2 linked regions of the Coturnix japonica genome follow. The protein of the gene in region 1 interacts with the protein of each later gene in a pairwise test. Links are inferred from orthologs where the notes say so. Each region holds a gene or a part of one and is shown in the gene's direction. Other genes may lie near its edges.

Region 1 (5,738 bases):
CAACCTTAATGGTTCCATTTCTGCCAGTTTTTGGTGGGGGAAGAGTATAAGAACTGGAGCCTGTAGAGCTCAGGCACCATTTCTAACTGGAGTTTCTGTATCTCTATGGATCATATCACTATGGAGTGGTTCTTGGTGCCTTCTTGGGCAGGTAGGCACCTGTGGTCTCTGTAGGAGAAAAGCCTGTGGTCTATCTTTGATGTGGGCCCAGTTCCTGGCAATTCGCTATTTTAGCTTCTTTGAAAGAATGACTCATATAGTTTCTGGTGTATTTAAAAGTCTCAAATGAAGAAGTAGTCACCGCAGCACCCACTTCCACTTTTATTCAGACAAAAAAGATATATATGAATGATACATGCAGGCGCTGTTGGTCATTTCCTCCTCAGAAGAGACAGAAAATAGTTGCAATGAAATGAGTCAACAGGGAGATAGAAGCGGCAGTTCCTGGAAACGATAATGGCCCCCTGTGTAAAGATAACGAGGCAGAGATAAAGCAAATAGCTTTGTGATCGTTGTTGACTGTGTGGGGCAGCGTTAGGATTCCCAGCTGATGTGTAGCCTACAAACCCAGCCTGCAAACATGGGATGATCCCTTCTTCCTGCTGCATGTCAACTGGAGGACAGCAGAGGGCATTGAAATGCATGGAAACGCTGGGTTGTTCTTTTTCAAATGGATTTATTTCTTACGTATGGCCAAAAACTGTTCAAACAAACAAACTACCTCCCCCTCCAAAAGCCTCTATTAAAACTCCCGATTGTTTTATGGTGTTTTTATGATGGCAAAAAGACACACCATAAATCCTACAAGGTCCAAGGGGTGGGGGGAGATGCATCAAGTGGGACTGAAGGGATCCAGGGTTTGTTTTCAGCTTTTTGCTGACTTCTTTTGCTTTAATTTCCGCTGTTTTTAATCTATGTGTACATTTTACAGAAGGGCCATTGGCTCTAACACGGTGCATACGCAGGACCAGAAAAAAAAACCAGTGAGCTCATACCTTTACACAAGCCATTAAATCTGCCAACGGAGGGGCCTGAAACCCAGCTCTACACTCAGCGTTGCGTGGGTGACGTGCTGCTTCCAGGAGGTAATATAATCAATGACTTAATTAACAAAGAACTTGCTCTGGTCCTGATGATGAAGAGCAGCTCGCTCCATGCCAGACCCACTATGTGATACGCACCACGTCCCAGCTGCCCCACTTCTACCCACTCTCTATGCTTTTCCTGTCCCCTCCAAACTCCTTTTTGTTGCAAGAACTCCCCCAGACACATACAAACACACACCTCATCTATACCAGTACACACAGGACCCCCTCCCCATACCCCTCAGTATCTCCCCACACACAACAGTACCCCCAGTACCTCTCCCCACTTACACCACTCCCCACACCAGTGCCCCCAGTATCCCCTCTCCCCATATAACCAGTCCTCCCAGTCCCCCTTCTCTCCCCACACACCAGTGACCCCAGATCCCTCTCTCCCCACATCAACCCCTTCAGTGCCCCCTTCCCCACATACTGGTGATCCCAGTTCCCCTCTCCCCACACACCAGTCTCTCCAGTATCCCCATAACCAGTGACCCCAATCCTCTCCCCACACCAGCGACCCCAGTCCCCTCTTCCCACACACACCAGTGACCCCAGTCCCATCCCTCCCCACATCAATCATCTCAGTGCCTCCTTCCCCATATAACCAGTCCTCCCAGTCCCCTTCTCTCCCCACACCTGTGACCCCAGTCCCCCTCTCCCCCAACACACCAGCCCCTCTAGTACCCCCTCTTACCCCATAACCAGTGACCCCAATCCTCTCCCCACATACCATCCCCTCTAGTACCCCCTCTCACCCCAAACCAGTGACTCCAGTCCCCCTCTCCCCATACACCAGTACCCCCCCACAGACCAGTACCCCCCATACACCACTCTTCCCTACCCCCACACCAATACCTCCAGCACCCCCTCCTATCCCCACACATCACTACCCCTTACCCCTCCTATCCCCACATCAATACCACTTATACACCAGCGACCCCAATACCCCCCACCACCGACCCTACACACACCAGTCCTCCCAGCAACAACTCTCCCCCCACGTCACTACCCCCATATACCCCCATATACTCCACTATCCCCCTCACCCCATAAGTCAATGCCCCTTTTCCCCTCCCCCCCGCACTACGCCTCCCAGCGTCCCCTTGTGCGTTATGGGGCGGAGCGTGGGGCGGTTCTAGGGCGGATCGTTGAACACCGGATCGTCCCCGGCGTTTTTTTTTGGGGGGGCCATGGCGATCTCCGGGGTCAGCGCTTCGCTGCGGGGCGACATCAGTGCGTGGAGGGTCTTGGAAGCAGGGATGGGTTGTATGGAGGGGGGGAGAGGGGGGGTGAGTTGTGATTTGGGGTGGATTTGGAGTCAGGGAAGGGAGGGGAAGGATGGGGCCCTGGTTAACCGTCCTATGGGAGAGACTGTGTTGTTGGTAGGGCGGTAGGGCGAGAGGTGATGGCCTTAAGGTGTGCTGGGGGGGTCAGGTTGGGTATTAAAAGCAATTTATTCACTGAAAGAGAGATAAAGGGGTTGGAATAGGCTGCCTAGGGATGGGGGGGAGGTCACCATCCCTGGAGGTGTTAAGGGAATATGGAGATGTGGTTGGCATGATGGTTGGATTGGGTGGTCTTAGTGGTCCTTCCAACCCTAATGACTCTATGGGATGGCATCCAGAGAGACCCAGGCAGCTCAAACAGTGCACCCAGGAGAACCTAGTGAGGTTCAATAAATCCAAGTGCAAGGTTTTCCTAAGCCTCCCCAAGAGGGCTCAAAGAAACAGGCTCAGTATGCCAACAGGGAGAGATTTAGATGAGGATAAAAGGCTTATTACAGGAACAGTAGTGGAGCACTGGAATGAGTTGCCTAGAAAGGAGTTGGATGCTCCATCCATCCATCCATCTATCCATCCATCCATCTATCCATCCAAGGTCAGGCTGGATGGGGCTCTGTTTGTATGGTTTGTATGTGGCGGAAAACTTCAAGCAAATGCTGGAAGGAAATGCAGCATTACAAGCAGCCCAATGGAAAGCCCCCAGTGCAAAGCTGGACTGGGGATAGAGTAAGAAATAAGTTTCATTATTCCCATCTCTTTCTTGTTAAGGGTTGAGATATAATATTTAAGGTCCTTCCCAGCCTAAGTCAATCATATGTTTCTGTCAGCCTATGAGCCTGTGTTCCTATTTCAACAGAGCCTCTTTTTTCCAGCCCAGAATCTCATTTATTAAATATTTTTCTTTTTTCCTCTGCAGGCTTTTGGGTTGATCGAACCCCAGTTCATGAAGCAGCCAGGCAGGGAGAAATCCTTCAGCTACAACAGCTGATAGAGAGTGGAGCCTGCGTCAACGCCGTCACCTACGACTCCATCACCCCACTGCACGAGGCGAGCCTGCGCGGGCAAACACAGTGTGTCAAACTCCTGTTGGCTGCAGGGGCCCAGGTAAGTGCTCAGTTGTGATCCAACTGGAAACCAAGCCACTATGCTGTAGGTGCTGTACTTGATGATCCTTGTAGGTCTCTTCCAGTTGGGGTTATTCTGTGATTCTGTGGTCTGTGCTGTAGCTGTAGTGCTGTTACTATGCTCTCATCTTGCATTGAGATCAAGAGGAGCCCCAGGTACTGTTGTAGGATGATGTCCATAGAATCATTTGAGTTGGAAGGGACCCTTAAAGGTCATCCAGTCCAACTCCCTTGCAGTGAACAGGGCCACCTACAGCTCAATCAGGCTGCTCAGAGCCAGGTTTTATACTAACTTAGAAAAGCAATGTGCTCAAAGTCAGGCTGGATGGGGTTCTGAGCACCTCATTGAGCTGTAGGTGCCCCTGTTCATTGCAAGGAAGTTGGTCTATGTGGCCTTTAAGGGTTCCTTTCAACTCAAACGATTCTGTTATTCAATGATTATAAGGCTAAGAGTGGAACGGGGAACATGATTGGATTTACACTTACTCTTTAAGTTTCTTCTCTCCTTACTTCAATTTTATTACACAGAGAAGAATCTGCTGAGTCTTCAGTGGATTGTGACATCTCACACACTGAAGCTGGCTGTCCTCAGAGTGAACCTGGTGAAACTGATCACATGTGCACCCCGTATGTGTGTGCTGTGCTCCTCGTTGCGTATTCAGCCCATCACAAAGCTGAACTTTGCACTAACCACAGACAAGGAGCACATCGTGCTGTGCTGGCTCAGCTGCAGCGCTTGTAATGTTCAACAGGGAGAGCAATGGGGAAGCTTTAGGAGAGAGGGAACATCATGGCATGGCAGGAGGTTGGAGCTTGATGATCTTTAAGGACTCTTGAACTCACTGAAAGAGTAGCTAACAGCAGGACAAGGGGAAATGATTTTAAGTGGAATTAGGGGAGATTTAGGTTGGATATTGGGGGAAGCTTCGCAGAGAGAGTGGTGAAGTGCTGGAACAGCTGCCCAGAGGGGTTTTGGATGCTCCATCCATCCCTGGAGGTGTTCAAAGTCAGGTTGGATGGGGCCCTGGGCAGCCTGGGCTGGTATGAAATGTGGAGGTTGGTGGTCCTGCACATAGTAGGGGGGGTTTGAATCTGGATGATCATTGTGGTCCTTTTCAACCAAGGCCATTCTATGATTCTGATTTCTTCTTCCTTGGAGGTGGATGCCAGGAACATTGATGGCAGCACTCCACTCTGTGACGCCTGTGCCTCAGGGAGCATTGAGTGTGTGAAAGTGCTGCTGTCCCATGGTGCCAAAGTGAACCCTCCCCTGTACACAGCATCCCCTCTTCATGAAGCCTGCATGAACGGTAAGCTGGTGTGGTCTTATCCTCGCACGGTTATTTGCAGCTTGGAAAATGAACTCAGAATGCAAAGCACAGTTGGGAGAATAAAGCAGCTCCTTGTGTTGGGTGCTTTCATCCCACATGGCAGGCACAGGATCAGGTCTTAGGTAGATAAAATGCCATCTTCTCGAGAGGGGAAAACTGCAGAAGCCATTGTAAACTGTCAGCTCCTGCTTAATTTTCTCCTGTCGAGCTTTTTTCCAAAGGCTCTGTGCTGCTGAGTGCCGTAAGTCACACAGTAAAATTAAGGCTGTTGTGGTCTCGAAGGTGATCTCATCCACCCAGGGCTCATTCAGCCATGCAACCAACTCTGCAATCCACAGGCTGCTTAGTGCCAGCCCTTGGAATCACATTGGTTTGGCCATTAGCTCTAGCTTAATGCCATGCAGATGTAGCAGTTTCTTGTGCCCTATTCCCAGCCTCTGTCCTGAGGTATAGAATCTGGCTTTCAAGTGTTTCTATTTTACATCCATTGCCCCAAATATTAAACAAGCTGCTCCTGGCTGATCTCAGCGTGTACTCGTATTTTAAGCTGGATTCTTCCTTTTGACTCAGATCTTCCATTTCTAAAGGCAGCTCAGATTGTGTGCAACTCCTCATAGACGTCGGTGCCAACTTGGAGGCTCACGACTGCCATTTTGGGACACCCCTACACGTGGCCTGTGCCCGGGAGCATCTGGACTGTGTGAAGTTGCTGCTTAAGGCAGGTAGGGCAGCTGTGGGGTTTGTCTTGGGGTGATTGTGTGCAGCGTTTCCCTCTTGGTGCCCCACTGTGAGACTCTTGCCCAAGAGCTTATTCATTCCCAGCATGACAAAGATGGTAAAGGAGGAAAGTTTGGCATTTACTCGGGCAAACCTCCTTCCATTCTCCTTGGTTTTCAATAAAAATCAGAACCC
Region 2 (5,107 bases), on another chromosome or scaffold:
TGGTGCTGACAAGAAGGCTGAGGCCGGTGCTGGAGCAGCCACTGAATTCCAGTTTGTAAGTATTTGTATTGAGATAGGCTTCATTTATTTGTGCTCTGAGTTAGAGACAATGCATGTATCTGTGTGTGTGGGTATGGTGCTTAGCAGGACTTCCTGCACTCTTATTGAATAAACTGAAAGCCTTACTGCTGTGACAAAAAGTCACTGAGCTTTCTAGGGGAAATGTATTATTTTATACTACAGAAACAGAGAGTTTGAGCTGTGATAGAGCTGACCGGGATGGGTTCAGTTTGGTCTCAGATCAGAGTTAAGCTGTGCTTGGAGCAGGGGATGCGTATCAAAGTAATGCAGTGCTGCGGGCAGATACTTGGCTCTTCTGTCAGTGCTTTTAGCACTTATTTGCTGTTGCTTGTTCAATGTGGTGACTTGTAATGCTCTTCTTTTTCTCTTGCAGAGAGGTGGATTTGGTCGTGGACGTGGTCAGCCTCCTCAGTAAACCTCCCGCTCATGTTTTGTGTATGATAAAATAGGTGAAAATGCCACTTGGGCTGCATGGCTGTGTTCTATTGGAGTGTCTGAATTCAGTGGGTTAATTAAGAAATGAAGGAGGATGGTGAGAGAGGATGGTGACGGCATCTGGAGCTGAGCAAGGGGAGGGCTGCGATCTGCATCGTGCCACCAGGTGTCACCCACAGCACAGCCATGGCACGGCGCTAATGGGGCCGGATGGTGCTGCTGTATAGGCAGGAACACAGAACGCAGCGAGAAGGGGCTGCTTACAGCCCTCATATAGGGATGGAGCAAACAGCAGGCGTGTAATTGGGTTCTTCATATACCTGAGGGCGTTGGAACCTGACTGCGACTGAGCTGAGTCCCACAGGGCTGCTCTGCTGTAGGGTTTATCCGTGTGTCTGAGCAGGGCAGCTGCAAAGCAGGTCACAACCCATCCTGGCTGTGACCCCACAGGCTGTAGGGCTGCTTTACCCCCCCAACCCTGATACAGCCACAGCGGGGCCGGCCGAACCCAGTGCGCCCCATTGTGCCCCATTAGGCCCCATTGGGTCCCATTGTGCCCCATTGGGTCCCATTGTGCCCCATCCCCCCGTCCCGCCCCTTTGTTCGCTGCCCCCAGCCGCGCTCCGCCACTGGCGTAAGCCGTCCTTGCGTAAGTTACGCGTTCTTCCCTGCGTGGCGTCTGCGCGCTTTGCGTAGAGCCGCTGTCAGAGCGGAGCCATGTGCGCTGCCTCTCCGCACTTTGCGTAGCTGTCAGGGCGCCCCGGCACGCAGCCGCCGTATTCTCGAAGGCTTTGCGCAGGGCCGGCGTCGGGCGGAGGCGTGGTAGCGGCGTCTGTGTGTGCCGCGGGGAGGGGGGAGCGATTCTGGAAGCCGGACTGCGCCGTTTGCGTGGCGGGCGCGCCGCGCAGCTGCAGGGAGCAACCGCCCCCTCCCCCGCCCGCCGTTTTACGCCGTTTGCGTAGCGTGCCCAAGATGGCGTCGCGGTCGTCGTCGGCGGTGTCCGGAGCGCCGGCAGCGGCGGCGGAGCGGCTGGAAACGAAGGGAGGGATGAGGCGGGCGAAAGGCGGCAGCGTGTAGCGGGCGGCTCCGGGCTGCGGGAAACAGAGACTGACAGACAAACAGACTCTCGGGGAGGCGGGTCCCCCCTTCCGTCCCCCCCGTCCTTCCCCGCCCGCCCCTCGCGGGATCCCGGCGGCTCGTTCCCGGCGCTGTGTAGGGGCCCTGTATAGGCCCGGCCGCGCCTCGGGCCGCCCCCGGGAGCGGAGGATGATGAAGCTCAAGTCCAACCAGACTCGCACCTACGACGGGGACGGCTACAAGAAGCGGGCGGCCTGTCTGTGCTTCCGCAGCGAGAGCGAGGAGGAGGTGAGGGCCGGGCCGGGCGCTGTGGGGGCGTCCGTTCAACGCTGCCAAACTCGGGGCTCTCCCCGCTCCCATAAACCCCCTTTTTTTCCCCATTTTTCCCCTTTTTTTTCCTTTTTTTCCCCGTTTCTCTCTTTGTTGAACGCGATCTAATGCCCCCGCGCTGAGGCTGATGGTGGAGCAGCCCGGTGAGGAGCTTTGGCAGCGCTCTGGAGCAACCACGCTGGCAGAACTTCAGTCCAATGCATCACATGAGATGGGAGAGGAAACCTGACCTTGGGTTTATAAAAAGAAACGGGGATAAAAGGGGACTGATGGAGTGCCAGGAGCTGCCCAGCAGAGCGGCTGGGGAGGAAGTGGGAATTAAAGGTGAATTGGGTGCTCTGAGACCCGTTGCCAAGGGCTGGGATCGGCCTGACGTTGGAAAGAGGAACTTTGCTCAGATGTGGATTTTGTTTTTGGGCCGTTTTCTCTTTTTAATTTGCTTTTGACGTGGGCACAAAGCAGCCTGCACCGCACCTCACTTCATTGACTGGCTCCTGAGCGGCTGTTGTGAAGGCTTTGTTCTCCCGATTATCATATTTGTAGCTACAGGAAATAGAAGGGAACGCAGACAGTTCGCTGGAGGAAAGTCAATTAGCATAGTGTGCAGTTAGTAGTTAACGTGCTGCTGGAGGCTGAGCAAAGCCTTTGTAGCTGCGCTGTCATGGTGAGGAGTGTCAGCATCTCAAGTGGAAATGATGTGAAATAAACAGGACAGAGACTTGTTGCAGCTGCACCTTCCCACCTTTCAGGACATTGATGCTCCTTTGAGTTTGCTATGAAGGAGCCTGTAATCACATTGTGTAATGATGCTGGGGCTTATCAGCTTGTGTGGTCGAAGGGTTTCCTGATGCACCTTCAGCTGGGGAGGCAGTTCTTAAGAACCAGCTGTTGGGCCATGTTAGAACTGTGTGTATTGGGTTGGTGTGGGTGCTCAGCTGAGTGCTGTACGCTCCTTTTGCTTTCAGTCCCTCTTAGCATTTGGCCCCAGAGAAATCAGGTGTGCTGTGCTGGTCCATGACACAAGATGCACTAATTGCTTTGTTAATGATGCAGTGTGGGATGCAGATTGATTTCCTCAAGCGTGCACACGTGGGTGCCTCGTTGTGAGCCCCAGAAAGGGCAGGTTAATGAATTATGGTTGTGTTTGATTGTGAATTGGGCTCTGAGGGCCTCACACAGCGGATTATTTATGATATCTGTGTGTTTAATGCAGGGCTGGAGCTGCATTGTGCCATCTCATCTCTGATGTTCCAACCACGTGGGGTTGTTCAACAGATTGGTTGAGGAAAGTTGTTAACAAAGATTGATTGATTGATGACTTTGATTGAAGTGGGATTTAGGGTTTCATTAAAGGGTCTCTCCTGGCAGGGAGAAAAAGAATAGGGCCAAAATCTGTTAGTAAAGATCTATTGAAGGTTTACTGTTGGAAAATGAAGGCCAAAAGCAAGCTGTGCTAAAGGAGCCTGCTGTACATTGCATTGTTTGTTTCTGCTTCTGGTTACAGTTTCTTTTGAGGGCTTAAGAAACAGCAGCTGCTCTCTATCCCAGTTCTCCTTCACTTCCCACTATGAGATAAAAGAGCTGCCTTGGAGTTCCTGATTGTTCACCATTTAAACGATCAGTGGGAGAGCTCGGAGATGAAGAGAGCCCAAGTCTTGCGTTACCTCCCAAGTCATTCCTTATTGCCATTGTCGGTGTGTTTCAGTATTACGGTGTTATTTTGAAGTAGTACAAGTATTTGTGTGTGTGTGTAGGGCAGCTGTTTCAATGAGGAAAGGTTCCAGAACGTGTCAGTAACCTCTCAGCATCACAGAGCAGATGGAAGGCTGCTTAATGGCAGCACCCCTGTTCTATTTGAACAGAAATTAAAAGCAACTGTTTGGCTTTAAGTCCCGGGCTGGTGTAGCTACAGGTTTAAGCACGCCTGCATTGTAACTGGTGAAAGGACAAACCGCTCGTTAACAACTGGTGTTCTTTAAAGACGCTGGGAGGAAATGCTTGGGGAAGAAAAGCATCCAGGATTGGCCGTCTTTTTTTCCAACTGTGAATGGAGGCTGAATTAAGATGGGAGAGCAGAACTTTCACACAGCTCTGGTAAGAACTCTGGCTCTGGAGCTGTGTGTGTGTGCCAGGCCAACACTGTCACCAAAAGCCACGTTAAGGAGCCCCCGCAACGGCCTCAATTGGGGGAAGCAATTTGAATGCAAACAAACCTTCCTCTTCTTGCCCCTCCTGGGTCACTTGGGAACAAAACTGTGATGTAGTGCAGCAGTTTTCAAATGTTAACTGTAGGCTCTTGCTGATCACACAGTGTTCTATGCCATCCTTTGTGCGTTGGCTTCAATATAAAAATATTATTAGCTGGAACCACTTGGAGCACTTTGCTGCCTGCAAGTAAAGGGAGCTCGGCATCATATGATCGTGGTGCTGCTGGTGGAATAGAGTCTCACAGCCCTTGTTCCAATGGCTCAGCTTAACTCTTGCCATTCCCTTCAGCTACAGAGAAGGTTTGGGGTTGAAACCGAGCAAAGCTCTCCCTGCCTGCTCATAACCCGTTACCACGGCCCAGTTCAGAAATGACTTTGTGCCTCTGCCCTCCCTGCTGTGCTTGTAACTCGCTTTCTCCAAAAGCAAGAGTGTATTCTGCCAAACTGGGCTTCTATCTAAGAAGTGCTTTCTGCCCTTCTGTAATGGAAGCCTGTGTAAGCAATTCCACAGTCTCTTGTGCTTTCCCAAGCTACAGTGGGATGACAGTGGTTAAATTTTCACTTTGCTGGGAGCTCCATAAGCTGTTGGGAATCTGAAAAGCTGAATCAGGTTTTATTCCCCTGGAACTCGAGGGTCACTGCATGGTCAGCACACAGGTTTTGCCAGGCAAACCAAACGGGGTTTAGGGTCTTTGGGAGTGCCTTATTATCAGCCCTTTGCTGCTGAGGCTGGGGCCCTCCGGCTGCCTCCTGCCCTGCAGATAATTCTTGTGGTTACCCGAAACGCAGCCTTGCTGCAGGGACAGGCTCGTGGCCGTGTCCATCTTCTGGAGGAGCAGCAGTCACTCTAAAGTTACAAGAAATGTGTAGTAACGGTAATGTGAGCCGTGGTGTTCGGGAGGAGTGTGGGACAGGGTGATTGATTGGTATTATTCTAAGAAGTGGCATAAAAACATGCAGGGTTTTCTCTACTTTTC

What was found. The genes of interacting proteins can lie anywhere in the genome.
Region 2: the proteins of ASB13 (region 1) and NUDT3 interact in a two-hybrid assay, tested with the Homo sapiens proteins (2 studies listed by BioGRID and IntAct). The link is inferred for Coturnix japonica from reciprocal best matches to the Homo sapiens genes ASB13 and NUDT3.

Annotation. Positions count from the first base shown.
Region 1 is NC_029516.1:1,118,153-1,123,890, forward strand, and holds the start of ASB13 (ankyrin repeat and SOCS box protein 13), read left to right. Parts: upstream 1-2,190; 5' UTR 2,191-2,278; coding exon 2,279-2,321; intron 2,322-3,287; coding exon 3,288-3,475; intron 3,476-4,654; coding exon 4,655-4,805; intron 4,806-5,413; coding exon 5,414-5,548; intron 5,549-5,738. UniProt on the Homo sapiens protein: May be a substrate-recognition component of a SCF-like ECS (Elongin-Cullin-SOCS-box protein) E3 ubiquitin-protein ligase complex which mediates the ubiquitination and subsequent proteasomal degradation of target proteins.
Region 2 is NC_029541.1:4,237,528-4,242,634, forward strand, and holds the start of NUDT3 (diphosphoinositol polyphosphate phosphohydrolase 1), read left to right. Parts: upstream 1-1,460; 5' UTR 1,461-1,782; coding exon 1,783-1,881; intron 1,882-3,732; exon of another isoform or gene 3,733-3,987; coding exon of another isoform or gene 3,988-4,017; intron 4,018-5,107. Other genes in the region: RPS10 (40S ribosomal protein S10), read left to right, coding at 1-55, 455-496. UniProt on the Homo sapiens protein: Cleaves a beta-phosphate from the diphosphate groups in PP-InsP5 (diphosphoinositol pentakisphosphate) and [PP]2-InsP4 (bisdiphosphoinositol tetrakisphosphate), suggesting that it may play a role in signal transduction.